Linked DNA regions of Pelodiscus sinensis. The protein of the gene in region 2 purifies or fractionates together with the protein of the main gene of each other region. This does not show direct contact. Links are inferred from orthologs where the notes say so. Each region holds a gene or a part of one and is shown on either strand. Other genes may lie near its edges. The genes, in order: MTA2, SAP30, ARID4A and SAP130.

What was found.
Region 1: the proteins of SAP30 (region 2) and MTA2 purify together in Homo sapiens (affinity purification with mass spectrometry; 3 studies listed by BioGRID, with this or other methods). This does not show direct contact. The link is inferred for Pelodiscus sinensis from reciprocal best matches to the Homo sapiens genes SAP30 and MTA2.
Region 3: the proteins of SAP30 (region 2) and ARID4A purify together in Homo sapiens (affinity purification with mass spectrometry; 5 studies listed by BioGRID and IntAct, with this or other methods). This does not show direct contact. The link is inferred for Pelodiscus sinensis from reciprocal best matches to the Homo sapiens genes SAP30 and ARID4A.
Region 4: the proteins of SAP30 (region 2) and SAP130 purify together in Homo sapiens (affinity purification with mass spectrometry; 4 studies listed by BioGRID and IntAct, with this or other methods). This does not show direct contact. The link is inferred for Pelodiscus sinensis from reciprocal best matches to the Homo sapiens genes SAP30 and SAP130.

The regions. Positions count from the first base shown.
Region 1 is NC_134721.1:36,551,822-36,559,821, forward strand, and holds the start of MTA2 (metastasis-associated protein MTA2), read right to left. Parts: upstream 3,020-8,000; 5' UTR 2,524-3,019; coding exon 2,496-2,523; intron 1-2,495. Other genes in the region: EML3 (echinoderm microtubule-associated protein-like 3), read right to left, coding at 4,214-4,411, 4,811-4,941, 5,100-5,198, 5,434-5,521, 5,787-5,884, 6,104-6,192, 6,500-6,567, 6,831-6,962 and 1 more. UniProt on the Homo sapiens protein: May function as a transcriptional coregulator. Acts as a component of the histone deacetylase NuRD complex which participates in the remodeling of chromatin.
Region 2 is NC_134715.1:68,330,405-68,337,550, forward strand, and holds the start of SAP30 (histone deacetylase complex subunit SAP30), read left to right. Parts: upstream 1-4,135; 5' UTR 4,136-4,622; coding exon 4,623-4,946; intron 4,947-6,955; coding exon 6,956-7,078; intron 7,079-7,146. UniProt on the Homo sapiens protein: Involved in the functional recruitment of the Sin3-histone deacetylase complex (HDAC) to a specific subset of N-CoR corepressor complexes. Capable of transcription repression by N-CoR.
Region 3 is NC_134714.1:11,393,505-11,400,625, reverse strand, and holds the start of ARID4A (AT-rich interactive domain-containing protein 4A), read right to left. Parts: upstream 3,011-7,121; 5' UTR 2,872-3,010; intron 2,866-2,871; exon of another isoform or gene 2,714-2,865; intron 2,165-2,713; exon of another isoform or gene 1,778-2,164; intron 1,445-1,777; 5' UTR 1,378-1,444; coding exon 1,372-1,377; intron 1-1,371.
Region 4 is NC_134720.1:5,765,058-5,772,170, reverse strand, and holds the start of SAP130 (histone deacetylase complex subunit SAP130), read left to right. Parts: upstream 1-4,096; 5' UTR 4,097-4,235; exon of another isoform or gene 4,236-4,244; intron 4,245-5,238; 5' UTR 5,239-5,244; coding exon 5,245-5,356; intron 5,357-5,989; exon of another isoform or gene 5,990-6,101; coding exon of another isoform or gene 6,102-6,102; intron 6,103-6,874; coding exon 6,875-7,110; intron 7,111-7,113. UniProt on the Homo sapiens protein: Acts as a transcriptional repressor. May function in the assembly and/or enzymatic activity of the mSin3A corepressor complex or in mediating interactions between the complex and other regulatory complexes.

The DNA.
Region 1 (8,000 bases), on a different chromosome or scaffold from region 2:
AGCCACCTCCCTGTCACCAATGCACTCCTCTTGTCCACAGCCATTTGCATTCTTGGGCAACATTGCGAGGCTGCAGCTCCCCAGGGCCGGGGCCAAGCCCAAGCCCAAACCCTACACCATTAGAACCCAGAGCCTTTCCATCACCACCTGCCAACCATCTGCTCGGACAGGGTCCGGTTTAACAGCAGTACTGCCAATGCCTGGTAACAGGTTCCAGCCTGGAACATCAATAGCTAAGCATGGGCAGCATTTACCAGGCTTGAGGGATAGCTGAGCCACATGCCCAGGCAGCATAACAGCCAGGTACTGGCGTGGGCATGGCATTGCCAGGACAGGCAGACAGCCTCCCACCTTCCAACGTAACCCAAACGTATGGTGATCTCAGTGCAAGATCATACCCCCTCATGGGACACACCCCAGAGTGGGAAGTGGGGAGGACATTATAAAATAGAGACCCTGAGAAAAACCCCACCCCACTGAAAGGGGCCAACCTTCTTGCTCCCTTCCCCTGAAGTGCCACACCCAAAGTGCAGCACCAAATGCTCATGGGCTTCTCAGCACATGGTCAAATGCCCAGTTTGAGCCAGGGAAGGGTCATGGTAGAAATCCCTCCCCCTCAAGCACCCTAAATCAGACACACCACCCCGGCCTCCTCAAGCAAACTCCACACAAGCCACCACCACCAATTGCAGTAAAACGAGATGTCCCACAACTACCTCCACCTCCCAGCACACTCCCCAACTGTTCCACACACACCATTCCCCACAGACTCTCAAACTGCCCCACACATAACCCACCCTCCCCAAGACCAGGCACATCCCCAGCCAGGCCTCTCTTTCCCACAGCCTTTAAACCCCACAACTGTCCCAGAACTACAGACACCTCAACCTGCCCTCCAATCTCCCCAACTCATGCCCCCAAACTGCCTCATCCACAGCCTGTGCAATAGCCTACCCACAACCAGACTGCCCCCAAACACCTGATAACCCACTTGGTCAACTGCCCCACTTACACCCTACAAGCAAACTGCAGACAACAAATAAACACCTCACTGACCCTCATTCTCTAATTGCTCCCCACCCCAGCAGCCATAACCACAGCCCTCCAAATCTTATACTCCATCGAGCCAGCCGACCCTTGTCCCCTGTGGGCCTTGCACCTGATGAATTCCCTTACCCCTCCCTATGTAACCAAACATGCTTTCCCCAAAGGACTTCCTCCACCACATAACCTGCCAGTTGCCCCCTCAACTTACCTCATTCCCAAATAACAAACCCAACCCACCAGCCAGACCCTCAAGTGCTCCATTTCCCCAGAGCCTCTGAACTTCTTCGTACCATGTAACCAGCTCCCTACACCACATTCTCCTGCCCTCACATAACCAGCCCATTATCCCATACTGCCATTGTCCACCTACCCCCCCCCCCCACAACCTGATGCCAACTGCCCCAGGCCTCCAGAGCCCGTGGACTCCCCATACCAGATGAAGCCATCTCACTACCCTAGATCACCCACATTCTAACAATCCTCCCAGTCCCCACATAACAAACCCACTGCTCACCACTCCCCTACACTATCCACACAGGGGTGCAGCATGTGGGGGGGGAGGGACGGCACCTTCCTCTAAGGAACTAAGGGGGTATCACCCCCCCCCCACACACACACACAGCCCATAAGCCCTGCAGGACAGGACAGCCCCTCCCCCCCAAAAAAAATCCGGTGGAGCGCGAGACACACCAACCTGTCTGACCCCACTGCCCTCCACAGACACACCTCCGGCCGAGCCACTGACACCCCCCCGGCTCGGTCAGGCCCCGGGAGCCCCCACACCAGCGTCAGCACCGCCGTGTCCTGCTGACTCCCCAAGCACGAACGCGCTCCCCCGGCTCACCGCCCAGCTCCCTCCGCTCGGTCCGGTCCTGCACTGCTCCTCCCCCACCCCCGCTCGGTCCAGTCCAGTCCGGTCCCGCACTACCCTCCCCACTCCCCTCCGTTCCAGCCCCGCTCTGCTTCCCCCCCCCCACTCAGTCCGGCCCCGCACTGCTCCCCCCGCTTTGCTTCCTCCCCCCCCGCTCAGTCCGGCCGGCCCCGCACTACCCCCCCCCGCAGCCCCGCACTGCTTCCTCTCCCCCCGCGCTCAGTCCGGCCGGCCCCGCACTACCCCCCCCCGCAGCCCCGCACTGCTTCCTCTCCCCCCGCGCTCAGTCCGGCCGGCTCCGCACTACCCCCGCCCCCCCCCACTCAGTCCGGCCCCGCACTGCTCCCCCCGCTCTGCTTCCTCTCCCCCCCCCCACGCTCAGTCCGGCCGGCCCCGCACTACCCCTCCACCTCCCCGCTCGGTCCGGCCCCGCACTGCTCCCCTCCGGTTCGGCTCGGTCCGGTCCGGCCCCACGCTGCCCCCCAGCTCGGTCCCGCACTGACCCCTCCCCCTCCCGGGTCCACCCGCCTTTGCCCAGCTCCGTCCCAGCCCGGGGCAGCGCCGGCCCGAGACTCACCCCCCACCCGGTACATATTGGCCGCCATGGCCCCGTCGCGCGATGGGGGGAAGGGCGGGGGCGTCTGCGTCCGGCTCCGCTCGGGCCCACGTTAGCCCCGCTCCCGGCCGCTCTTCATCTCCTCCCGCGCCGCCGCCTCCTCCTCCTCACGCAAGGCCGGGACCAGGAGACTTCGGGCGACTCCGGCAGCGCTTCGGTGGTTTCCGGAAAAGGATCGGCAAGACTCGGAAATATCCCGATGCGACTCCGGTAGCGCTTCGGTGGTTTCCGGAAAAGGATCGGCAAGACTCGGAAATACCCGATGAGACTCCGGCAGCGCTTCGGGATGTTCCGCGTGAGATCGAGTTTCTCCGGAACCGTTCGGGTACTTCCGAAAGCACCTGGCGAAGCTTCGGGCACCGTCGACTAAAGCCTCTCGGCGATCGGGTCCTTCCGGACAGTGACTCCAGATGGCCGGCGCCGAGCAGGACGTCGGGTAAATCCGGAAACTGAAACTTTCGGTTATTTCCGGACACGGTCTGCCCTGCTCGGGCCTTTTCGGAGGGAGCTTCAAGCCCTGGGTTTTTAACCCTTTCTTCTCCGAAGGGCTCAAGGTTGCCCCGCCCCCCGTTCAAGGGGCAATTCCCAACAGCCTCAACTGCACTAGAATTATTTCCATACATACAGGTGCAGTTTTAGACATGTTTAGACCAAAATAGCCACTCATTTACCCAAGAATTCACCACCTGCAGCGGAGTCCTACACCGAGGTGAGATGCAGCCAACTCTGGAGTGGAGCACCACTGCACTAATCCCAGTGTCCCAAAAGAGAGGTGGAAATGTTTTCTCTGTATTCCACTGGATTTAGGGAACTAAATCTCTCGTTTCCCCCTCGGAACAAAAGCCTCATTTGCTTCCCCTCACCCCCATTCTGAGGCTGTTAAATGTGGTCTTTGTGCCATCCTAATGCAGACTAGCCCCACACCCTGCTGCCCCTTGCATGCCTTCCTCTCCCCACCCCACTGCTGTGGCCCCTGCATACAACCTTCTGTCCAGCTGCCCCCTACCACTGTTATTTGCTTGCTCCCCACCCCTGGAAGGAAAGAGACGGGAGCCCAGCCCCTGATGCCAAGGCTTTATTGCTGCCTCTCACAGTGTTCAGCGTCTTGCTGCTCTGGCGCAGCTGGGAATGTAAACAAAGTGGGGAGAGCAGTGTCCTGCTTCTCCAGGCTTGGTCCCAGGTTTGGGGGCAGCCCTCAGGCCCCTAGAGAGGAGAGTGCCCCCAGGTGGACAGGTCCCATCACACATACACATTCTGGGAATGGGGCTACTGCTCCACCATGGGGAACAAGGGTGGGTATGGACAGCCCCAACCCTAAGGCCATGCTGCCTCCATTAACACATCCTGCAGTTCCCTGACCCATGAGTTCCCCTGCCAGACCCATCCCTTGCCTCCAAAGCAAGAGTCCCAATCCCAACACCCTCCCAGATGAGCCCCTGGGCCCCAGTGGTGGGAGCTGCCAACAGGCCCTTGGCCCTGCCTCACCACTCTGACCTGTACCAGGCCCTGAGCAGAATTTAGGCCTTTTCCCCAGTGTTAATGAATCAGGTCGCATTATTAGCATGTGTTAGTGCCAGGGGGTAGGGAACCCTCTGGCTGGGCCTCGCTCACTGAGATTCATGTGCCAGGGCTGTCCAGGCCTACAGGCAATGAGGCTTGGTCCCTGTAGCATCTCCGGCTCAGACACAGCCTCCTGCCTCCTGGGAAGATAGGGAAGCAGAAGAGAGCGAGCAGCTATGGGTGAGGCTGCCCCCCAGCACTCGCCACTGGAAGATGCTGGTGTCCTTGCCCCCCAGTGAGATCAGATAGCTGTCATCATTGGTAAAGCGCACGTTAGTCACATGGCTCCCATGGCCCCCATACATGTGGCTGGGCGCCTGCAAGAGAAAACAAGGAGTGGGGTCAGGGGTAGGGGCTACTGATGAAATCCCATCACCTCCAGGCTGTTCCCTAACCTCTGGTCCAGGCCCTTGGGCTCTGCCACTACACCCAGGACCTCCCAGAACCACCGTGATACCCAGATGAGACCCCCCTATTCTGCCCCAAACTCAGACAGAGATTCCCCTGCCCAAGATCCCATAGAGACTTCCTGATCCCCTGGGATGTCCCCATGTCAAAGACCCTCTGGGCATCTCTGGTCCCCAAACTCTCAGGGCAATACCCAGTGAATGAGCAGAAGAGCAAACAAAATCCCTAGTTAATCCTTCCCCTTGTGTGCCTCCTCTCATTTTGGCATGGGTTCAGGGCTTAAACTCCCCTATCCCTGCCAGTCTCACCTTGGCCCTGGCGCAGGGGTACTGGAACAGATGCACCTTGCAGAAGTCGTCTGCCACAGCGACAACACGCTCATTGTGGGAGCGGCACAGGGAGTTGATGTCTGTGCCATCTGAGCCGTCCGGCCACACACCTGCGGAGCAGATACAGGATATGCACTAGCTGTTAGTGCCTCTTCCTGACTGTGGCTCTTGGAACCCCTGGGTTCCTTCCCTCCCGGCTACACTTTTCTCCTTTCCCGTTCCCGACACTCATCCTCTCCCTACACACCCTATGGTTCCCAACCCTCACCAAAAACATGAAAGCCCAGCACACAGGTGTATGACGCCCACTCCCGGTCACGGCTCTCAAAGCGATTCCTCAGCAGCTTGCAGCCGCCAGCCACATCCCCTGCAAAGGAGGCAGAGACATGCAGGGTTAGGGTCAGCTGCAGTGACCGGCACTGCCACATGAAGGTGCAACTCCTAGCCTAGGCACCAGGGGACCACGCACAGCCTTGTCTCAGGGCACCAGAATTATCTCCCCCATGACAGATGCTTATGGATGGGCCCAGGCACAATGAGGAGGACGTACACCCCGGCACCAGGGTGAGGGGCTCCTGAGTACATGCCTTCCCTGCACTCACAGTAGAGGATCTCGTAGTCTCCTGAGTTGGACATGATGAACTTGCTGTCCTTGGACCAGTCCAGGTGGGTGATGAAGCTGGAGTGTCCCTGGAGCAAGAGGGAAGAAAATGGGACTTTAAAGCCAGGTACTCAAGAATCCCCTCCCCAGCCTGAGGTGCCTCCCAAGGATGCACAACCCAAGGGCTTGGAATCACACACCCCCGGCTCCCAGTACTTCCCCCATTCTCAGCCCCCCTGAAACTCTCTTCTCTTCTCTTCCCTCCCTTACCCTTGCCCCAGTAGCCCCTATCACTCCCAGCCTCCTTCTGACAACCCTCTCTTCTTGCCCCCCCTACAGCCAGCAGCGCCTCACCGTGCAGCGACCGAAGCGGCTGTACTTGCGCTCCCCCTCCCCCACGCTGTAGATGTAGATGAAGTTGTCATGGGAGCCAATGGCCAGGAACTCACCATCTGCAGGGGGGGGAAAGAGGGGTGGGATGGGGCCATCTGTGTGCAAAAGGGGGGGCAGTGGAGGGGGTGCAGGAATGGGGGAGAATGGGAGGAACTTGCTGTCTCAGCAACATGAGGAAAATGGGGGCTGGAGGGAGCCAGCGCTGCAGTGGGGGAGGAATCTAGTCAGAATGGGCCTGCTGGGGAGGGGAGCGGGGCAGGGAGGCATGAGGGTCTGACCTGGCGAATACCGCACCACCGAGAGCTGCTCGTTCCCATCCGAGCCCCATGACAGCACCTGCCGTGTCTCTGTGTCCAGCACCATCCACCTGGAGGCACAGGGCAGGGTCAGAGCTCCCAAGGTGCCAAACATGCAGAGGCACGCAGAGGACCGACCCCACCCCAGGGAACAGGGGCAACAGAGAGGAGGTCCGGCCTTGGGGGCAAACTCAGTGACCCCTTAATCCCTGGAGGGCCAGACTCAGGAAATGGGGGCCACAGCCCGAATCTCACGGTGTTGCTTGCAGGGCCACCAGCATCCGCCGTTCGCTGGGTGTGATTCCAATGGGGTGGGAAGGGCTGCCAAGCACCCCTAAGGGGCCAGAAAGGGAGTAATGGGGGGTGGTGGGGAGTTACCGTCCAGTGTTGAGTCCCACGGCCACCACCCTGCCACTGGGGTGGAAATCAGCACAGAGCCCAGTCTCCTAGAGGGGGAGAGATACACTGTAAGGTCATTGACCCTCTTCCCCCACGCTCCATCCCCTCAGGTGGTACCTCCAGGTGAGGCTCCAGGCCTTGCATCCCTCCCCCACCCCAGGCAGTACCTCCAGGTGACACTCAAGGCCACCGTAAGCCCCCCCATCCACCCCAGGTGGTATGTCTAGGGTATGGCTCCAGGCTGCCATGGGTTCCCCTTTCCCCTCCGGGCGGTACCTCCACGAGCTCCCCCATCCCCTCTGGGCCATACCTCCAGGGTGAGGCTCCAGGCCGCTGTATGCTCCCCGCTGTCCCACATGCAGACCTGCCTGTCATGCCCGCAGGTGAGGAAAAGGCTCCGTGAGGGGTGGGTGGCCAAGCCCCACAGCTCGTCCGTATGACCCTGCAACCAGGAAGAACCTGATAGAGGCAGACAGGGGCCTAGCTCACCCCACTGCATGCTGCTCCCCATCCCATCAGACCCCTTCTGCTTTCCCCAGCCCACCACTCTGCTGCACCCCCATACTATTCCCAAGGCCCCTCTTTCCCAAGCCATCCCATGGCCGTGCAGTTTCTGTAGCTGCCCAGAATCTAGCTCCCCACGCACCTGGACAATGGGGGTGAAGCCAGTGCCCAGGCTGCCCCTGAGCAGCGCGTTGCGCGTAGTCCCAACCAGCAGCTCGTCCCCGGGGCCCTCAGCGATGGTGCGCACAGCCCCAAACTGCTCCGGGATCTGGGGGCACAAGGGGCTGATTCATCTGGAGTCACAGATCCTCCCCACATGGCTCCTATAGACCCCTTCCCCTCCTGCACATACCCTTCCAGGGCCTCCTGCCATGCCTCCAATACACCCCTGCTGTCTGTGAACTCCCACCCTGATTTCTATAGTCCCCCAACCAGGCCCCCATACACCCCATAGCACCTCCAAACACCCTCTGCCTGCCCCTGTAATTCCCCCATCCTCACCTCAGAGATCCCCTCAAATACCCTCTGCCCACCCCTGCAGATCCTCCTCCACAGCCACTGCTGCTCCCTCACCAACCACTCCAAAACTCCCTGTCCACTCCCACCCACTATAGACCCCTCACCCCTCCAAATCTTCTTCACACACCTCTGAAGATTCCCACCCCATCCACTACAGCCCCCCATCAACACCCAAACACTCCCCGCCCACCCCCACGGATGCCCCACCCTCACCCACTGCAGATCTCTCATAACATCTAAACACCTTCCTCCCACCCCTCGCCAGCGGATCCCACAGGCAAATCCCCATGTCCAAGCCCAAGCGATCCCCTGCCCAACAGATCTCTCTGCCCAACCCCCTCCAACACTGGCACATTCTGGCCCCACCCCTACCTCCCACAATCCCGTGAATCCCCTTTGCTCAATCTCACCCGTCGCATGCAGATTCTACCCTGCCCCACACTTTGGATTGGAGCCA
Region 2 (7,146 bases):
TGCAGCTGTCATCATTCCTGTGTTGTCTTCTTTCTAGCTATACTCTCGCCTTGTTCCTGTCCCACTTCAGTCTGCTGAGGCTCTGCTCCCTTGGATGGTTCCTGATTCAGGCTCTGATCCTTGACTAATTTCCTGGTTCCTATTTCTGACTCTAGTCACTAAGCTGGGCTCTAACTTTAACCAGGTCAAACTGCCCACATACTGGTCTCTGATATGGCTTTTCTTCAAAACATGGTCATTAAGATCATCTTAACTTTCTTCAAACTTCATCAAAGAAATCCTGTATTTTTGTAACTGAAATTCTGTCAGCTTACCCATCTCACTTTCAAACTCTGACCCCATATATTAGCTAGGGATGTGAATGGGTAACCACTTAATCAGTTACCTGATAAGCACCCTTATCAGGTGATGCTTACTGAGTACCAATTACTGCAGCCCAGCAGTATTAGCTTCACCCTGAGATGCCAGTGCCAGTCCCCTACCTCTTAGAACCCCCCCCCCCCCCCCACCTCCAGAGCTCTCCAGCACTAGCTCCACCCCCATCACCTACCCCTGCATTGCCTCCCAACCACCAGATGAGCACTGCTGCCCAGGTCATAGCTGTTCTAAGGCTGCCGTGCCAGGCTCCATGTGGCCCTGCCTACCATGCAGCAAACTGCTCTTCTGCATCCAGGAGACCCTGCCCGTCCAGTGCTGGTTGGCTGAAAGGCAGGGCAGGATACACTTCTCCCAACAGCCACTGTGGGGGAGGTGAGGCACTGGGTAGTATACTCCAGCCCTGGCCTTCAGAGCTGCTATGGACTGCCAGTTGGGAACCACTGTACTAGAGTTACATAGCTTCCTATTAACTCTGACATATCCCTTCTATATAATATGTCTGCATGCCCAATTGAATTTCAGTTGTTATATAACTGCAATAATTTCAAATTCCAGTCTAGGTAGGACCTTAACCATATTCTGTAATATTAAGTTATATAATCATATTAAAATTCCATGTGTACTACAGACTGGAACAGTGCAACTAGACTGGCATGATTTTGCGCAAAAGCGGCCACTTTTGCGCAAAATCTTGCCGCCTGTCTACACTGGCCACGAGTATTTGCGCAAGAACACTGACTTTGTAATGTACAAAATCAGTGGTTCTTGCGCAAATACTCCAACGTTCCTGCTCAGGGATAAGCCCTCTTGCGCAAGTATTCTTGCGCAAGGGGGCCAGTGTAGACAGCCACGTTAATTTCTTGCGCAAGAAAGCCCGATGGCTAAAATGGCCATCGGAGCTTTCTTGCACAAGAGAGCATCTGCATTGGCACAGATGCTTTTGCGCAAAAACAAATCTTTTGCGTAAAGGCACATGCCAGTACAGACGCTCTCTTGTGCAAATACTTTTAACAGAAAAACTTTTCAGTTAAAAGTATTTGAGCAAAATTATGCCAGTCTAGATGCAGCCGAACTGTTATAATCCAGTTTCCTGACTCAGAATCCTAGGCTACATCTATACTGGCAGCTTCTTGCACAAGAACATTTGTTCTTGTGCAAAAACTTGCTGGGTATCTACACTGCACACGCGTTATTGCGCAAGTAAATTTACAGTACAGTGTCAGAAAACAGGGCTTCTTCCAGAAGAGTTATTCCTCTTCCCACAAGGACTAAGCCCTCTTGCGCAAGAGGGCAGTGTAGACAGGCAACATGAATTTCTTGCACAAGAAACCCCTATGGCTAAAATGGCCATCAGAGCTTTCTTGAGCAAAAAAGCGTCCACACTGCCATAGATGCTTTTGCGCAAAAGCACATGCCAGTGTAGACACGTTCTTGTGGAAGACTTTTTGCACAAGAACTCTTCCACAAAACAGTTCTTCCGCAAGAAGCTGCCAGTGTAGACGTAGCCCTGGGCTACGTCTACACTGGCATGATTTCCGCAAAAGAGTTCTTGCGCAAAAACTCTTACAGAAGAGAACGTCAACACCAGCATGTGTCTTTGCGCAAGAGATGTGCTTTTGCGCAAGAGCATCCGTGCCAGTGTAGACGCCCTCTTGTGCAAAAAAGCTCCGATGGCCATTTTAACCATAGGGCTTTCTTGCACATGAAATTCATGTTGCCTGTCTCCACTGGCCTCTTGTGCAAGAACAGTTGTGCAAGAGGGCTTATTCCTGAGTGGGAGTATCATAGGTCTTGAGCAAGCAGCACTGATTTCATACATTAGGTCAGTGTTCTTGCGCAAGAACTCACAGCCAGTATAGACAGGCAGCAAGTTTTTGTGCAAAAGCGGTTACTTTTGCGCAAGACTGTGCCAATGTAGAGACAGCCCTAGCGTATACAGAACATGTCTTCTCTGATCACCCCTTGATCTGGCACTCCACCTGTTTTGATTCAGTAACTATTGAATATGCTGTAATTAATACAGCTGAATGAATGTTTCAATGACCTAGTTGCATTTAACTATTTGATTCCCAATTTCACAGGGCTTTAAAATAAAAGCTATATCTGAGAGGAAACTCATTACCATGGACTTTGCAAACACATCAAGAAAAATAGGTCAAAGTTTGGCTCTTCATTCTATCCCTCTACCAGGGAGAGCTGAACTGTTGGATGCTTATGTTTATTAACCTTATGTACTTTTGCTATACAGTTTAGAAACTAGGTTTTGAACAAGAGCTTTCACCCTTTGTGCTCATTACCTCCATTTTAATTGTTCCTCCTGTTGAAGGCAGGTCTGAGTTAGAGTATTGTCAAGCATGATAGAGAGGTCATTTACAATTTAATTGTAAGTTCTGGAAACTAGTGATAGGGAAAACTGTTACAGCAAAATAAATGGTCCTACCACCAGGAAGGGAGATACAGGAAAAATGCTGGCTAATAAATGAACTAAGTTTGTTACTACCAAAGCCTTTTTTAATAAAATATTTACTATAAAAACATTAACTCTTATTCTTCATCCTGTATGGTGTTATCTAATTGCTTTCCAATGTTTATATATCTAAAGCTATCAACAACACAAAGAGCAAGGACCAATTATTCTCAGTAAACACAGGCAAAAATCCCAGGCTAAGTTTAGAGCTGTCAGCCAGCTCTCATTTGAAGAGGTGCCACCCCAAGTTCCTTGTACCACTCCCGTCCGAACCACCCGTCTGCAGTTGAGGGGTGAACGGGACATGTAGTCCAGCCTTTATCCCAAAAGAAAAGAGTCACAAAAGGAGAGGAAAATAAGATTTTGCAGAAACGCCTAAAAGCCTGCCACGGCGAGCTAGCTCTGTGCGCCATGGCAGGCAGGCCTGGGGGGAAACGCGCTCACCAACGGCAAGCCACGCAGCTGCAACAACACGCTCCGAGCCCTCCGGCTTGCAGCTGCTTATCCTGGCACGCAGCGCCCTTGTGGGAGACAAAACCCCACCGGTGGTAAACTAGGGGCAGGGGAACCGCTTTTCTCGCGTCCCTGGACGCGCGCAGCAAGGGAGCTTTGCAGCCCGCCCAGGCGTCCGCGCGCAAACATGGCCGAGGCGAGGGGGAGAGGCGACAACGCTGCCTGGTGGTACCAGGCGTTTCCCCGCCTCTCACGCAAGGCCTCGCTCGCTCCCCCAATATTCTGCCTCGCAGCATCTCCCCCCGGCCTGTCAGACCAACCCAAGGGGGCAGAGATGGGGCGGGCTGGGCCGAGCCGCCTTGGCAGCGGCGCTGAGGGATATGGGCGGGGCTGGGGCGAGCGGCTCCGCTTCAGCTTCCAAACAGGCGCATTTCAAATCTCAACGGCCGCTCGGACCGTCCTTTGAGCGAGAAGTGGGCCTAGCGCAGCGCGGAGCCGCCTCCTGCGGTCCCCGCCCCCTCGCGAGGGAGACCCAGGAGGAGGCTGAGACGCGGCAGTTCACTGGCGAAGAGCTCAGTCACCCCCTTTCCCCCCGCCCCCATCACATTGCAGAGGGGAGGGGCGGGCTTACAAACGTCTACAGCGGCCCTCCAGGCCCGCAAGCCCGGCTCGCGCGGTGCATTTCAGGGGCTGTAGTTTTTCAGCCCTCCCCGCCCTTGCCGACGCTGCAATGATAGAAACTACAGCGCCCATGAGCCCCTTGAGGCGGGAGGCCGCATGCGCATCGCGGAGCGGAGCCGCAGGCTGGGTGCTGCTGTTGTTACATAGGAAACAGCTGAAAAGTCTCCACATGACAGAGGGGGAAGGAGGAAGCGGGGTGACCCGGGGGACGGACGTGGCTTTTGCAGAGTGAGGCGCTTGGCCGCCTTTGGGAGCCCCCCAACAGCCTAGGGCCCCGAGTGGAGGGGGCCGAGCAGCGATCTCGCTGTGCCCCTTGAAGGAGCCCTTGTGTGCCCTTGGGGGAGGGGCTGTGCCCCCTGTTGCGGGGCTCTGTCTGCCGGGGGCCACGGGGACGGAGGTGACCCTCAGGCCGGGAGGAGGATCGTGCCCCCTGCAGCGACGCTGCCTGTCGGGCCGATTGCTGATGGGGCAGGTTTAAATCCCTCCCTTGCAGCCAAGCGCACAGACAGCGGGGAAGTTTGATTCAGCCCAGGCGGCGAGGACGGATCCTGCTCCTCTGCCGGACAAAGGGGCAGCGCAGGCGGGTGAGGAGCCCGGGCGGGTCGGCGATTTCTTCCGCCGGGATAGGGACGCTGCTGGGGCCATGAACGGGTTCGCCCCCGAGGAGGTGACCCAGAGAGGAGGGGAGGCCGCTGCCGCTACCACCGTCGTTGCTGCTGTTGTGGCCAATGCAGCCGCCACCGTGGAGGTGCCGGCGCCGGGATTAGGTCCCGGCCCTGCCGCAGGTGCCGCCGCCGCCGCCGGCTCCGCGGGGCCCCCTGGCGCTGCGGGCCCTGGGGCCGGGCAGCTGTGCTGCTTGCGAGAGGAAGGAGAGAGGTGCAGCCGGGCCGCCGGCAACGCCAGCTTCAGCAAGAGGATCCAGAAGAGCATCTCGCAGAAGAAGGTGAAGATCGAGCTGGACAAGAGTGTAAGTGAGGACTGGAAACCCGCCGCCGCCGCTGTGCGCCCCTGGGGCAGAGACAGGGTGTCCCGGGGCGGGCGTGAGTGGCAGTCAGGGCCGGGCCGGCCGGGGAATGCGCCCCTCTCGCATTAGGGCAGGCAGTGACGGCTGCTCCTGCGGGGTCACCGGCCCGAACGCCCCCAAGGGAACGAGCCCAGCCGCTGGTAGGAGCTCCCCCCAGGTGTGGGATCGGGAAGCGACTTGCGGGTCCTGTTGTCTCTCTTCACGCGCCGCGTTGCAGCTGTCCGGGAGCACAGCACAATCCCTCGCTCGCCCCTCCCCGGAGCCCCACTCCGGCCTTAAGAGTCTTTCCCGCACAGGCTTAAACTCCCTCCCTCCCCTTCCCCCCCGTGAGTGTGAGACTTTAGGCAGCAGCTTCTTTGCTAAATCGTTTGAGGTTTGCCCTTGGTGCGGTCAGCTGGAAGAGTGAAGCTTAAACTGCTTCTGTGCAGTGATGGGGGATAGGAGACTCCTCTCATCTTCCCTTCTGCTCCCTCCGGAAAAATCAGGGTGGCAGTCCGGAGAGAGGCCGTTTGTCCGGCTGCCCCCGTTTGCTGGGAAAGCTGGAGGCTGCACTCCCCTCTCCCCCGGCCGCCCCTCCAAGCTGTTCCAGAGCAGGGACTCCATGCGTGTTTGTGTGGCTGACTCTAGTGAGAGCAGCACACTTGGCCGCTCCGCCGCCTGTTGTAATGCTGCGCGTCTCTCTTGGCCACCGTGTCTTCCGTTTGGCAGCCATCAGGCTCTTCGTACTGCTCTCTACGAGAAATCGCCACGAGCGTGTGTTACCGTGTGCAGGCAACACGAGCTCCTGGCTCCCTTCCTTGGTGTGTGCTGAGAAATAAATACCCGTTGGTAGCAGATACGTTTCGAAGATCGGGAGCAGTGTTATCTGCAGAGCAAATGTCTGCCGGCTTCCTTCTCTAATGAATACTTGTTTCCTCAGTCAGAAATGCACAAGTATTTGCCAAGGCGATCTATTTTTACTTCACAGAGCAGAAATGTTAGGAGATGCTGACACAAAGAAAGGTTCTAATACACTTATTGCACTTACCACCCACAAGAGATTGAGTAAACTCATGCTGATTGGAGAAAAATGGTTGCTAATTTATATTTATGCTTTTGTTGGCTGTTGTGAGCTTTCTCTTGAATCATGGTTTATGAGAGAGCTGGTGAAGTAAACTTAAAGCCTATTGTAAATGGGCAAAAAAGCTCTTCTGCATTAACAAAAGGAAAAGCTTAGGCCCCCAATTTTTTCTGATTATATGTTGAATTAAATTGCATTTAGGTTTTTCATTTGTTTTTATCATCCCAAATTTAACTTTCTAAGTGCTTGATTGCCATCCTCCTCCCCACAACCTGTGCACCCACAGCTCCAATCATCATGTGAGATACTGATGTACAGTCAGTAGCCCTATGTGTATGTGTATATTTTCTCTGTAAAAGAAATTCACAGATTTTTAAAGATACTTTGTCACCGCTACAGGCCTTTCCTCTCAAAATGAGCTTGATTCCTACAAAAAGGAAAATTTTAAAACTAGACATACACATACTTTATTTACAATGCGTTTTCTTGGATGGTGGAAGCAAAACCAAGGAAGAGAGTTGTGAAGTGAGATAGCAGTTCATTTAAAATAATTGCAAAGTAATTTTAGCATCCTATTTCCTGTATTCTGATGAGTAACAAGAGAGCTGTACTTGGCTCTTTCTACAGCCTGTTAATACCAACTTTGAATTGGTTCACTGCAGTAGTACAATGATAGGAGGGATTTTTTAAGCCAAATACGTGTGGTAACTTTCAGCATACCAAATTTTAAGTATGGGTTCTGGTAGAAACAGCTTTCTTAAAGTCATAGGTAATGTCACCAGAGCTTCTTGATGGATCCACTTCATGATAAATTACTACAAGTATAATTTACATTATCATGTATTTCCTGGATGTGGATTTGTATTTAAAACATGCATTGCTACATTTTTAGGCAAGACATCTTTACATTTGTGACTTCCACAAAAACTTAATTCAGAGTGTGCGGAACAGAAGAAAGAGAAAAGGCAGTGATGATGATGGTGACTCACCAGTGCAAGACATCGACACTCCAGAGGTAGCTGAACAGTTGTCCTAGAAGTTGTCATATAAAGCTTGTTCTTAATTGCCACCAAGTCTGTTAAT
Region 3 (7,121 bases), on a different chromosome or scaffold from region 2:
TGCACACAGCCTTATCTTTCTTTACAACAAGATTTGACAGTGCAAGTAAAATGAGTGGTGAAGATTTTTCACATTTAATTATTTTCATGTCCCCAGTTTGCAAGAATGTACTAATAGTCATTAAATACTGAAATGCTATTTAAAATAGCAACTTTAAAAAAAAGAATTTAAATAACTGATGATGAAAAGTGAATAAGAACAAACAATAGTTATGGTTTGTTGCACTATTTTGCAGCATACACAGATCACTATGGCCCAAAGAAATACATCAGTTTTGCCAGTAAATGTCAGTGTATTTGGCTGGCTAAAAAGCTTACATCACACCGAGTTTATGGGTAAATTTTTTGCTCAAAGAATTCTGACCCTCAATTTTATCAGTCTGACGACTGTCTCAGGAATATCTGTTCAATAACCTCAAAGAGAACTGAAGCATATGTTTACAAATAGAGAAAGAAACATTAACATAAGGATGAATATCAACTTAATACATTCATATTGTATTGTTTACAGAAAAGCAATATTTCAATTGGAATGGAAGCTGCACCTCAGACAGCTGCAATTTCAAAATACATACAATAACCAAAACCTTTAGATTTCTGGTTTTTCTGTGAGGAAGAAAAAAAAGAAAAAAAAAGGCAGTTCATGGTGTGCTCCACATCAGATTTTCTGAAGGGAAAAACAGCAGCAACAGATCCTCAGAAAAGTTTGCTATAACCTTTCAAACAAGTATCAAATGTAATTTTTGTTCCTTGCAAGGTCTTTGTTAAGATTTATTTTTCTAAAAAAGATATGCAAGCTTACAATTTTAAGAACATCTGTCTGTACCTGAACATTATTATTGTACATTTTATTTCTACATTACTATGTTTAAAAAAAAACAGTCACAGTAAAAAACAATCAAGAAATGAAGAAATGCAATGACATATTTTGTGTTCAAATTATTTTTGCTCATCTCTGCATACAAGAAGTGCTTCCCTCCATGTGACTGATCTTGCAACTGGTAAGCTGTCTTTGCACTGTAAAAACTGAAACTGCTAAGGAAGGATAAAAACTGTGGTTTTGCAAACTCACAAAAGCTATAGCCAACACAGGAAGCATTTAAAAATAGTACTCCAAGTGACAAGTCAAAGCCATCTTATGTGTCCAGAGTAGTGTTACCACAGAGGTGAGGGATTGGGATTAGGTGCCCTGCACTGAGAGTGAAGAAATGGGATTTCATTCCATTCAACATGTGTGGATTTCCACAGCCAACTTTTACTTTGCTGTTGTTCAATGAAGATGCAGTGATTAAAAATACAGTGGCTGGTTCAAGTAGAAGAGACAGAGCACAAATGCTTCCCCCTCCTCCTCCATCCAAGGACCTAGACTTACCTTCATCTTTGAAGGTTATTTGAGGGATTCCAGCTCAAAGATATCTTCTGACCCTAATTATACTGAAAAAAACCTAGAAAACAAGAGAAGGAAGATGATCAGACACGTCTGCCAGCCTACAAAATTATTAAAAGGAAACAGCTTGATCTTAGGAAAGCTGCAATTCAGCTACAAGCATATGGTAGATTATTAAACACACTCTTCCACATTGTATACACACACCTCCCTCCACCCTAGGAGCACACCCACCCCTTACATCCCTAAAGGAATTCCCTCCACAGGAAGCCTCTGAGCCCCACTTGCTGCCCTGCATGTGCAGCTGGAGGGGATAGCAAGAAGTGCTGAAAAGGGGTCCTTGTTGGGAACAAATGGGCCCTTGGAGGTCTGGGCAAGGAGCCGCTACTACCTCCTTTTCCGTCCCGCTTCGGCTGCCTCCTGCTGCTCCTCAGCCCCTCCGTGTGTCAGGACAAGTCGCCATTGCTCCCTCCGCCTTTGCACCATGTCAGGCAAGAAGAGGCTCCACACACACGCAACGCAGGCAAAAATAATATTACTACTACTATTCCACTGGAGCTGTAAGCGGCTCGCAGCCCAGCTGCTGGGACAAGGGCAGCTCCTGCGCAGCAGAGACAAGGCCCTTGGCCGCCTTCTTCCCCTCTCAACTTTCTCAAGCACAAGAGGAGAGATTACTCAGGAAGGACCTGACCCTCTCCTCTCCACCCCGCCTCCTCCGGCTATAAACGGGGACCGAGGAGTTAGACACCCCCCCACACACACCCGCTGCCTCCCCGACTACCCTCCAGACCCCCCCCCCACACACACACACCTCCTCACAGCCCCTGCCTCCCAGCTACCGCTCGAGCCCCCCTCCCCGCCTCCCGCAAATACCCTTCGACCCAAGACACGACCCAAACCCCGCCGCTGCCGGGCCCCCCTCCGAGCACCCGCTCCCCGGGAGCGAGGGGCGGGGGCGTTCCGGCGGGGGGGAAGCGAGGTCCCTGGGAGCCGAGCAGGGGAGAGCCGAGAGGGGAACCTGCCGAGCCCACCCCGCGCCCGGAGGGGCTGAGGGGGGCGTTCCCCGTCCTCGGGGGATGGGGCGCCCCCGTGCTCCGGGCCGAGAAGGGGGGGTCCTCGGCCAGAGAGGGGAGGAATCGCCGGGCGAGCGGGGGTGGAAGTTCGGCGGGGGAAGGGAGTCCCCGCTCCCCCGGGGGGGGGGCCTCCTCCGTGACTGAGTGAGGGGGGCGTCGATCCGCCGGGTGAGGGGTCCCCGCTCTGCCTCCCCCGGGACGGCAGCAGAGTTGCGGCTGCGGAGCCGCTCGCTGCCCCTTCCCCCCCCCCCTACCTTTAAACTCGGAGCCAAGTCGGGATCTGCCGCGAGCCCGGCCCGGCCCCCAGCCCCGCTCGCGCCAGGCGCCTCAGAGACAGCGGTGGGCAGAGGCAGCGGCCGCTCGGCTCCGCTCCGCTCCACCCCCCTTCCAGCCCGGACTCGCACCGACTCACCAGCGATCAGCCAAATAACAAGCTGTTGAGCAGTAGCTGCCTTGCTCGAACTCCCATTGGCCCTTCGTGACGCCCAGGGGCTCTGCCCCGCCCGGATTGGGCGCCGCGCACAGCCCCCTCCCATTGGTCACAGGGTAACGGCGAGAGCCGATTGGTCAAAAGCCGACGCAGGTAAAGCCACGGAGACTTTTGATTGGTGAATCCGGGGGACTCGACTCAATTGGAAATTTCCGAAGTGAAGTAATCGTTTGCCTCACGCTGATTGGTGCAAACTGGATCCGGATGTAGCTCTGCCTTGCACGATTGGCCAGCGTGAGGGCCAGGAAGAGAGGCGGGGCGATGTGATTGGTGCGGACTGCTTCATAGGAATGCAACGGGGGCGAGGCGGAGCTAGAAGCCTGCAGTAGCGACGGTTGCATAGTTGCGTACCGCGCATGCGCCGCGGTGGGCCTCTCGGGCGCCATTTTGTACGATGTTCTTTCCCATTTTAGGCGGGGAGGACGGGAGCGGGAGTGGTCTCTGCGCTCTCTGGGGGGGAGGCCTGCCCTCGTCCCAAGGGCGAGGGGGCGGCCGGGGCTCCGTGGGACTTACGGCTGCAGACCGTCTTCTCTCCCTTCGGCCGGCGAAGTGGCTGGACTAGTAGCGAGGGGGGAGCCTCTTCCCTTCCTCAGCGCGGTGATGGCGCAGCAGCTGGGGGAGGGGGAAGCTCGGCGAGGCCGACCCCGGAAGTGAAGGGACCTCTGAGGAGCCGCTGGCGGCGGCAGCAGAGGAGGAGCTCGGTGAGAGGGGAGGTGGCAGCCGCCCGCGGTGCTGGCTGGGCCCAGGAGGCGGCGGAGTAAGCCGGTCGGCGCTGCCCCGTGGGGCTTGGGGTTCGCCGCCCCGGCGGGGAGCGAGGCCTGTCGGGCCGCGGCGCCGCTGGAGCGCGCGGGCAGCCCCCGGCTGCGCTTCCAGGAGCGCGTGGACGCTGAAAGCTGCAGCTCGTCACCTCGACGTGGGGCGGGAGCGCCCCAGCGGCAGCCGGCGCGCGGCTCCGAGAGGGTGGGTAGAGCTCGGAGGAGCTGCCTGTCCCGCGGGCATAGTGGTGGTTTGGGAGCTCGCCAGCTGCTGGTTTCAGACGCAGCCGCGTTATTGCACGTGCTGTCGGCCAGTTTCCTACGTGTTGCCCTTGGAACCAGGGCACCAGGGCGGTTGCGTGTGCGCTGTCTCAGTCATACTTATGGTAGGGAGGGGAAGCGTGTTTTGCCTCCGAGGCCGTTTTTCTTGGGGCTGAGAGCTTTTGACCAGTCCAAAGGCAGCTCAGTTTCCTCTACACTAAATAGCAAGCGGTGCGGCTTTTCATGTTTACGTCATTGACTGTTGTTAAAGGGTAGGGACAGGGAAGCTACCCTAATTTGGTGTTGCTGCCAGGAGTATTGGGGTGGGGGTTGTTCCTGGGATAAGGAACTGAACTGACATCTTAGGCTGCCTTTACACTGGTACTTTCATTGTTAAAGCTCTTGTTGCTTAGAAGTGTGAAACTTCACTCTGAACAAAGTTTTAATGATGGAAAAACGTCTTCATGTGGGCACCATTTCATTGGTGGTGGCAGCATTTTCTGCTACAAAACTACCACCCGTTGTTGGAAGTGGTTTTATTGTGTCAGTAGGAGAGGGCTCTCAAATGATAAAAAGCAGCTGTACAGTGCAGCTTACCATGGTTCTGCTGCAGTGGCACAGCCATGTTATCCTGAGAAGCACAGAGCAGACAGCTTAGTTGTACTAATACTCTTTAGATGGCAATGAAATGAAAGGTTGTATTTTCTGCACCCTTAAGTCAAGTTTGGAGTGAATGTTGTCATAAACTGGTTATTTGGAACACTTTCATTTCCTTGGAAACACCAGAATTATTTTGACTCGTTTTATTAGGGGTCACTAACACTTATTGTGTACCAGGAAACTAGATCCATATAACTCTGTTGCTCAGGGGTGTGAAAATCCATATCCTTGGAGCAGTGTTGTTACACCAACTTGACCCATTGTATAGACATGGGAGAATTCTCTTGTCAGCCTAGCTACTGCATCTTGAAGTGGATTACCTATGCTGAAGGGAGAACCTTTTGCTTTGACAGTAGTCATCCACACACCTCATTTTGAACTGAAAGTACACAATCAGCAGCCAAAACAAAAAAACACCATACAGTACTATGCTCTGTATTAAACATAAACTACTAAAGGGAATGTGTAATAAAAAAATACAAAGAGAACTCTTCATTTAAATTAAGGTAGTTAAAAGTAGCATTCCATCTGCATATTACACTTTCAAAGCTGTATTAATCAGTTGTAAACTTTTGAAAACACAAACATTTTATTCAGAGTTAGCAACAACATACATTCCTGAGGCATTTGTAACATTCTAGTGTAGTTCTGTAACTTGTTTTTGGCTGCTGTCCATGTAGTCAATGAACTTGCAAAATGCTGTGTGCATGTGTATACCTGTTAAGCTACCTGAATCAATTCATATTTAATTCCAACAAAGTAGATTTTTTTAAAAATAAACTTACTTTACTTTTAAATGTGTAAAGCATTTTATGGCTTCATATATTAACTTTAATAGATAAAGCACTAAACTGAAAGTCAAGCTATAATGTGAAGTGCTGTCATCACTAAACCTGCTTGAGAGCTAAATGTAATTTTATTAAATGTTTTGCATAATAAACTTGACTTGAGAACACTCCTTCAACCTTCTGTCTAGTGCTTTAGACTCCCATCTTGCAGTGGGCTCTGGTTGCAGGAGTTCACCATGCAGAGTTTATAGAAAGATCAGAGTTCCAGAGATGACCATTATATGCTGAATGCTGCCAGAGGGGCTTGATACCTAATAACCAGCTTTCAAGTCTGTTCTAAAGATTTTGGTTTGTATTGGATCTGAAGCATTAGCAAGACCTGACAAAGGAAAAGTTTCCTAGTTAGGCAGTGTTGCATAGTTTGGATATGCTTTAGGTACTTCAGTAGGGGATAAAAGCTGGTTTTCCCTAGCATCATCGCTGTCATGGAGGGGAACAGGAGGCAATGAGGCTCTGCCCTTTCAATGTAGGAAGAGCCACCTGGCACAGCAGTGTTAACTCCTGGGGGTGGTGCCAGCTGGGATGCCAGGCTTCTCCTACACTTAAACTGCAGAACTGCAGTGGGAGTAGTGAGCACCCTCCCCCTTATCTACTAACAGTTCTGCAGGCTGAATGTCATTGTTTTAAAATCTGACCATTTGGGATAAGGGACTTTGGTTTTTGTCACTTTTCACTTACCTCAGGACAATTTGTTCCCCTCCTCACTTTCTAAAAATGAGGCAAAGAACTGAGAAATCAAATTAGGACAAATTTCTGAAGCTTTCCTTTAGTTACTCCTTGGAGCTTTGCTGTCTTGGACAATTACACAATATGCTTTCTTTTTTATTGAACTGATTATGGACTCTATAGCTATATTAGCAGAGACTTCTATAAGCAATGCCACTGTTTAAATTATTTTTTTAGATTTCCACTTTTGTGTTCAGGCCTAACCCCCCCCCCTCCCCCCCCCCCCCACACACACATTTTAGGCCATCCTACTTAAAAGACTTTCTGGTGGGTTCTACAATTTGTTTCTGTATGTTTTTATTTTAAAGCAAAAAACCCACTTTGCTATATAACTGCAGATCTTTCAAATCTTTGCCACTTCTGAATGCATGGAGGTATGTTGCATGAATTGAGGAAAACAGTCTACTACATAATTCTGTATGCAAGCTATGTAAACTAGTGATGAGGGCCAATATTGGTGCTTGTAAGATGTGTTCTAAAAGCTTGAGCTTTTAAAAATTATAATGTCTTTGCATCTAATCTTGATTCTTACTACAAATTGTTTAATCTGGTAGAAATGAACTTGTGCCTCATGAAGAAAATTTTTTGATTCAATTAAAATATGTACCGCACATACCATGAATTTCAGAAGTCTTCTGTTGCTTGATTTGGATGTAAACATACTCACTTGTGTATTGTAACAGCTGGTGCTGAGCAACTGCATTTCCTGTTACCCGGGGTTGGATTTGTTAGTGTTCAAAATATCTAAAACAGAGGCCACACCTACTTGGCGGCTTAAATTCTGGCATCCACCTTTGAGGGACATGGTTTGTCTTTATTTTCTAGTTTTTCTTAGATAAGAAGCAAACCAATACTATAAAACTGCTTCACACAATTTCAGAGCTAAAATTATTTCACTGGGATGGCAGAAGAGAAATCCTGT
Region 4 (7,113 bases), on a different chromosome or scaffold from region 2:
CATCGCACAACCTAGTTTAGATTGAAGAACACAATCACATTACTTTTTCCTTAGATCATTAGTACTCCAAGGGAACAGAGTTCACCTTTCCACAGCGAATATATATTTTCTTAATTTTATAAATCATGAAATTGTATTTCAATAGTCAATGTCTTTCTTTCTGAATTACTGTCAAATCTTTACATACCTAATCGACAATGTCTCTCATCATCCCTGGCCAATAGTATTTTGAAGTCATGATATTCCTAGTTTTGAATATTCCTTCATGTCCACCCATGAAACTGTCATGATACCGTTCAAAAAGTGTCCGTGCTTCTTTCATGGTATGCACAACGATAACCTTTCTTCCTTTGGCTGAATGGTACAATGTGCCATCTGTTGAATATAGAACATGGATCAAAGAGGATGAGTAAGGTGATTGCCTGCTGCAACAACCAATGTTACATCTCTGTTAAGCATCTTCCCCTGTATCTCATTTCCTGTTCACTCATTGGTATTGAAAAATTATACAAGACACACATAGCAAGGAAATCTATACACTGTATACTTCGTAATTGTGGGAGTACAAGGTGTGACTTTCAGTGTATGATTATGATTATTTATTTGTTTTGTAAATTAGAAATCATTGCTCACTGACCAGATAGTGACTGCTGTTGGTGCCTTGCATCACAAAGGAGAATATTCATAAGACATGAAGAACAGTGATAATTTTAATTTTCAAAGAATTATAATTCTTACTAATTTATAAGGTAACTGACCAATATTTTTCATGTATGCATAGATAGCAATATAATTTTTAAATGAACTGTGAATGAAGGTAATGCTGACAATCACAGTAACAGTGAAGGTAAGGTAAACATTCCAAATAATCCCAGTGTTGGGACAGCAGTACAATCCTGTACAGCATGTATCATCCATTGTAATGTGATTATTCTATTAAAAAAAGGATTCCTTGCCTTCCAAAGAGAATCTACTAGCAAATCTTCGAAGGTTCAATCGTCCAGCCTTATTCATTCCTTCAGGATATGTGTTACTCGTTATGTATGCCAAAACATTTTTAATGTTGTCCTCAAAACATTTCCCTGAGAATTGTTCAGAACAGGAAACAGCTAGTGAATTGGAAAATGGGAAAAGCAATCCATATAACAGTCAGTTCAAGTAGAAAATATGAGATCTACATTGCGTACATATAAGCAACGTAAAACAATATTAACAAGGCCTGATTGTCAAGCCAGTGACAACAGACAAATTAATTTAAGGAACATGCATAATTCTCCTGAATGTATGTGTTACCAAAGAAGGATGTATTCCATCAATGATGATCTAATGTTTTTTGAGATTGATATCACCTAGATCCTTGATTATAGTCATTGCTTGACAAATAATTGAAAACACTACTTGACAGACAAAAAAGGGACTGAACACCCCAAGTTAATAAATTCCGACTAATAATAAGAACAGTAATTGCTAATACGTTATTAATAAAATATCCTCCCTGTTAGCAATGCATGTATTATAAACTTCAACTTTTTCCCCTCTGCTTCCATGTCTCCTCCCATTGCTCCAGTAGCTACCCTAGTGACTGCTGCCTCCTAACTCCTAAAACTCATGGTTCATAAAGCAAATGAATGCACAATAAAACACTTTTTTATGCATATTGGACAAGTAAACGTACCTTCCATAATGATGTGTGTAGTAGAAGAAACTTTTTGCTTGTTGAAAATATATGGGGAACAGATACTGTGGAAAAAGTATTAAGGATGTGAATTAAAAGAAACACCTAGAACATATACATATGAGTATCACTTGATACTCAGTACTGCAATTAAACAATCATTTAACAGAAATTTTAATTGTTAAAATTAATATATTGTAACTAGATTATCGAGTAAATTGTATATCACTGTAATGGCTCTGAGGTTGTGCACAGAATTGGTCCCTGTTACAGATATAGGAATGGGGTGAGCTTAGCAATTATATCATTGTCCTGCTTGTAGTTACTTATGGTCTCATAGGGAACATATTTTTCAACGTTGATAATTCACCACCACACTGTAGCTCTATTGCAGGAACTAGGTTACTCAAGGTTGTTATATTCCAAACTTTGAAACACACACAGACACTGCCACCCACTAACACAGAACAACTCAGAGTATTGTGTAATCATCACTCTCAGTGTGACGCATCATGGACTCTGCATGCTGTGTTTAACAGCAATGCCACACTGCACCAACTATGCTTACAGAGGTAGTTTGAGGTGGGGGAATGAGAAAGAGAGAGAGGGAACTCACCACTCTGCGGAGCTGTACACTGATCAGGGTTCCCAGATGGTGAAGGTATCTATGTGTCCAGATGGTTGAAGGAAAGCACAGCAGAAGCCACAAAACGATCAGAAAGGAGATGGTGTTGCTCTCTCAATGAAGCTTCTCCAGTATAAAACTCACTATGAACAAAAGTTTCACCAAGGCTTAGATAGGAGAATACTTGTAACATAAACAGAGGTGTGAGCAAAGGGAATGTTTTTCCTTGATGGAGGTCACAAAGCAGCTAGGCAGTTTTAGTGTTTTGGATGTCAATAGGATCATTACTATCATTGGTAAGATACTGAAGAATGAGGATGTTAGCAGCACTGGCTTCAGAATCTGATTGATCTGAAATTCCACATGAGAAATGCACCCCTCCTGCACCCAAACTCCATCCCAGATCCTGAGCACCAAACATGGCCAAGTATCGGAGGGGTAGCCGTGTTAGTCTTAATCTGAAAAATCGTTGAGGAGTCCTGTGGCACTATCTTCAGTTCGTCTATAAGGTGCCACAGGACTCCTCGCCCACATGGCCAAGTGAAACTTTTGTGATTCCTCTGATACTTGGCCATGTTTGGTGCTCAGGATCTGGGATGGAGTTTGGGTGCAGGAGGGGTGCATGCTAAGGGGAGTTTGGGGGACGGGTGTGGGCTCTGCCATGGGTCAGGAGATTGCAGTACAGGAGAGGGTGTGGATGGGAGGGACTTTAGCACATCAGCACAGTACACGAGAAAGGAGATGCAGTGACTTCAGATAGACATAGAAACTAAGAGAAAACTATTAAATACTCCAAAAGCAAGAGGCAGAGTTTGAGACAGGAACTGTCTGTAGAATATTTCACACTTGTACACATACAGAGGAAGCATTGACCATCTAGGAATTGGGAAGCCGGTGCCTTTAAGAACTCAAGCCCAGGAGCCCCCCCCCTTCCTCCCCTCGGGGCTGACAGGCAGCATCCAGGGAAAAGAAAAAAAGAAAAAAAAAAAAAGACTTTGCACCCCTGGCAAAACGATATTTACAAGGACATCAGGTGGCTCGTCCCGCAGGGTGACTGTTCCTACCTCTCCCCCTCCCGAAATGGGGGTTTTGTCCACGCACAGGGTCTGGCACTGTTCCCCCCGCCCGGGGTTAATCACGGCTACCCCCCCACCCCCGATTTTTCAAATTTCGCTCCTCTTCTGCCGCTAAAAAAAGCAGCTTGATCCCCCCAGCCAGTAAATTTTTGCCCCCTGATCAGACCATGACCCACACCCCGTTGAAATTCGCCCCCAATAATCATGTTAAACCCCTCCAAAGAGGAGGGCGCAAATCCTACAAGCCCTGGGGGCAGAGAGGGCAGCGGCTCCAGCAAGGCCACTGAGTTTGCTCAGTTCGGGTGCGCACGCTCAGTGCACCCAAACTCGCAAATGTGGAGTAGCGTTCTGCTCGCTGCACCGGCCGGGCAGAGCAAGAGCTCGCCGCTCGTGCCGCCGGGGGAGACACCGCACGCGCTCGAGCTGCAGGCCAGAGCAACAGGCTCAGCGACACACGAACCCTGCCACGCTAAACTCCGCCCCCCAACCCCGATCTCGCGAGATTACCTTGTTCTCCTCTTCCTCCCGATCCGCATGATATTTCCCTTTAGGCCCAGAATCGCGGCTGTCTTGGCCAATCGCTGCTCAAGGTCTGGCCCCGCCTTCTTCCGCGTGCCGGCGAGATTATCCCTGAAGCGCTCTCGGGTTAAACTACTTTTCCCAGAAGCCCTTTCGATGCCGCCGTTTCAACCCAGATTGGGCGGGGTCACGCGTTGTGGGCGGCACCAACCGGAGCCAATCAGGCGGAGGGTGGCTGCGGCGGTGGAAGGAGAGAGCTTGAGTCCGAGCATTGGTGTCAGCGGGAGAAACGGATTCGCAGGCGGCTGCGCGAGGCCCCAGCGCGCGCACGGGACAGCAGGTAGCCCAGGTCAGGGACGGCTCCGCGTGCCGCTTGGGCGGGCGGGCCAAAAAGGGGGGGGGTCTCGGAGGCGGGCTCCGGATCAGACCCGGCGGCAGAGGATCGCGGGAGGCTGGACGGAGGGGAGGAAACCCGACGGTGGTTTCTCAAGGGCTAGGAGCGAGGGGCTACTTCTCCGGGGGCGGGGCGCTTCTTCCAGCCGCCCCATAGGTGCCAATGGCTTGTTGGTGGCCGTTGCGCTTTATTGCTTGTGAACATCCGGGCTCTGCGCGTCCCTCACAGCGAGGTGGGTTGGGACTTGGCGTGGACAATTGCTCCCTATTGGCCAGTGCGTTCTTATCCTATTGGCTAGCTCTCTCATGAGGTCACTAGTGGGCTGGGCTCTCGATTGGTTGAGCGCACGAGCCTAAATCTGCGTTCGATTGGCTCGTGGCCCAGCTTGACCTTGGATTGGTACAGGGCTATGACGTAGTCTCCTTTATGCCACCCAATCAGCGAAGGGGCTAGTAGCCGGTTTATGGGGCTCTTGGTGCGAGGGGGGGGAAGTGGGTACTTCGCGCGCGAGCGCGGGGGGGGGATACCTGAGGAGCTGGTGCCCATTGCAGGAGGCGGTCTGGTTGCTGTGGCACAGCCTCAGGGTGATGCTGTGCCGTGCCTAGCGCGCTGCCCTGGTCCCTGCAGTGCGCCCTGAAGAAACATCCCTCTCCCTTCCACGTCTGGTCTCTGTCATCCACAACCCAGAGCAGCACCGCCCTGCCGGGTATCAGACTGTGGGAGCGTTGGGCCCTGCTTTCCACCTTCCTTTACCAAGTGATAACGTGTCTGCTTTCAAACCAGCTTTTCCCATTAAAATGCATGCCCCTTGTTCCATGGGGCTATGTTACAAATTGTCACCTCATTCCCTGCATGATAGGAGAGCGATCACATCTCTTCAAGTGTGAGCGTCTTAGGCTGAACATATTGCCAGGATTATGTTGCTTACAATTTTCATCACATTGCGCAGGTGGAAATGAGTTCTCAGCAGTTTCCCCGTTCTGGAGCCCCTCCTGCAGGACTAGGACAAGCACCACCCCCAATTTCAAACAGTGGATCTACAGGGCTGATAAACCCAACAACCACAGGTAAAACAGCTATGGAAGATTCATTTTTCCTACCAAAACAATTTCATTCTGAGGAAGTTTGAGACCGTTTGCTGCATGCTCTGCAGAACTGTATTAAGATGATTGGATGTTTAAACACATCCAAGACAGACATGACTCAAATGCTGATATAAATAGGTATGTTAATTTGAAGAATTGTAGTAAGCTCTTTTTTCACACCCCACATGTTGTACCGGATAAGTGTGGGCGGGGAATATTCAAGTTGCCTTAGAAAAACAATGTTAGCAAAAACATTTTGACTGTTTAGAAATCATCTAAAAAGTAAAGTATAGTTGTTGTACAAGATATTAATTGGCCTTTCTGTTGGGGAGGGGAGAATTGCAAAGACATCACAGGTAGGTGGAAACTAGGGAGTGGCTTCAGAACAAACTATACACCCATGAACATAGGCTGTGTTCACCTATAAATAGAAGTGCATGATTAGCTGATGTATTAAAGGGATATTGTCAGAAAGTGGATTAAAATGGTTTGTCAATATTCCTTTAATTAATTGCTAAATGAGGGTATGTATCTGATCATTTTCAAGCCCGTGTTAGAAATACCTGTTACTGTTTCATTATCTCCATAACTCTTGATTGGTGTTTGATGTCTTAGGTCCCAATTCTGCAATGAGATCTGTGCTACCAGATGCCTGCCCCGGGGACCTGGAGCTCATTGCAGGATCAGGGCCTGAGTAGTGAGTTGCCACATTACTGATGCCTCCAGCAGTAAGTCAATATGATCTTATAGAGTAAGATGGAAGGAAGCATGTTTTTAGAATTCAAATTCATAATTATGGTAGGAGATTCTGAGAGAAGTAAGTATAAAACAAATTCTAGGTAGGTTTTGATTGCCCTAATAATCGTGTTTAAAACACAGTTTACAGCTGAGCTTCCTGTGCTCTTAAGAATTTATGAGGTGGAAATAAGGTAGAAATTCCAATTTTAGTCTAATTATCACTGTCCAATGGGGCAGCTTGTGTTCTGTTTTTGTAGATTTTGCTTTGATGATTTATTTTTATTTTTAATTGGAGAAAGTAGTTAGACAGTCTTGCATTTAGTGAATTATTTAATAAAAAAAAAATTGCATACATGCCATGAGGCCTTAGTCATTGTTGGATCGGATGGTCTCAATCAGTTTATTTTGTTACTATGAATTAGATTAAAAAGAGGCTACAGTTAGAGGTTTATTTTAAGAAGGATGATTGTGTCTTGTCAGTGACTTGTGTTAGACCATGATGTGTGGAGATAATCCTTACGGCTCAAAGAGGAATACAGAGCACACTTTGCAAGAGGATTAATGACTTCTGGAGACTTTTGTTTTTCAAGCAGGTTTATATTATACCAGGATTAGTAATGTCTCTTGTGCAGGAGGTTTTAAACAAACTGCCTTTGTATGTGTACATTTTGCACTCAATTTGAGGGCTTGTTGGCAATGAGTGCATACTTCTTTTCCATTTGTATCCTTTTCCTTAGAGTTCCTTTTTTCTTTCCTCACCAGTGAGTGATGAATCTAATCGAGAGTCAGAAATTGGTCCCAGAGAGCACATGGGCCCCAGTGGCTCTCTACAGTCTCGTGAAGAGAAACAGGAACCGGTGGTTGTTCGGCCTTACCCACAGGTTCAGATGTTGACACAACACCATCCTGTCCAATCTGGTGCTGCCGTTACAGTGACAGCTCCACCAGCACATCTGACTCCAGCAGTGCCACTTTCCTTTTCAGAGGGACTTATGAAGGTA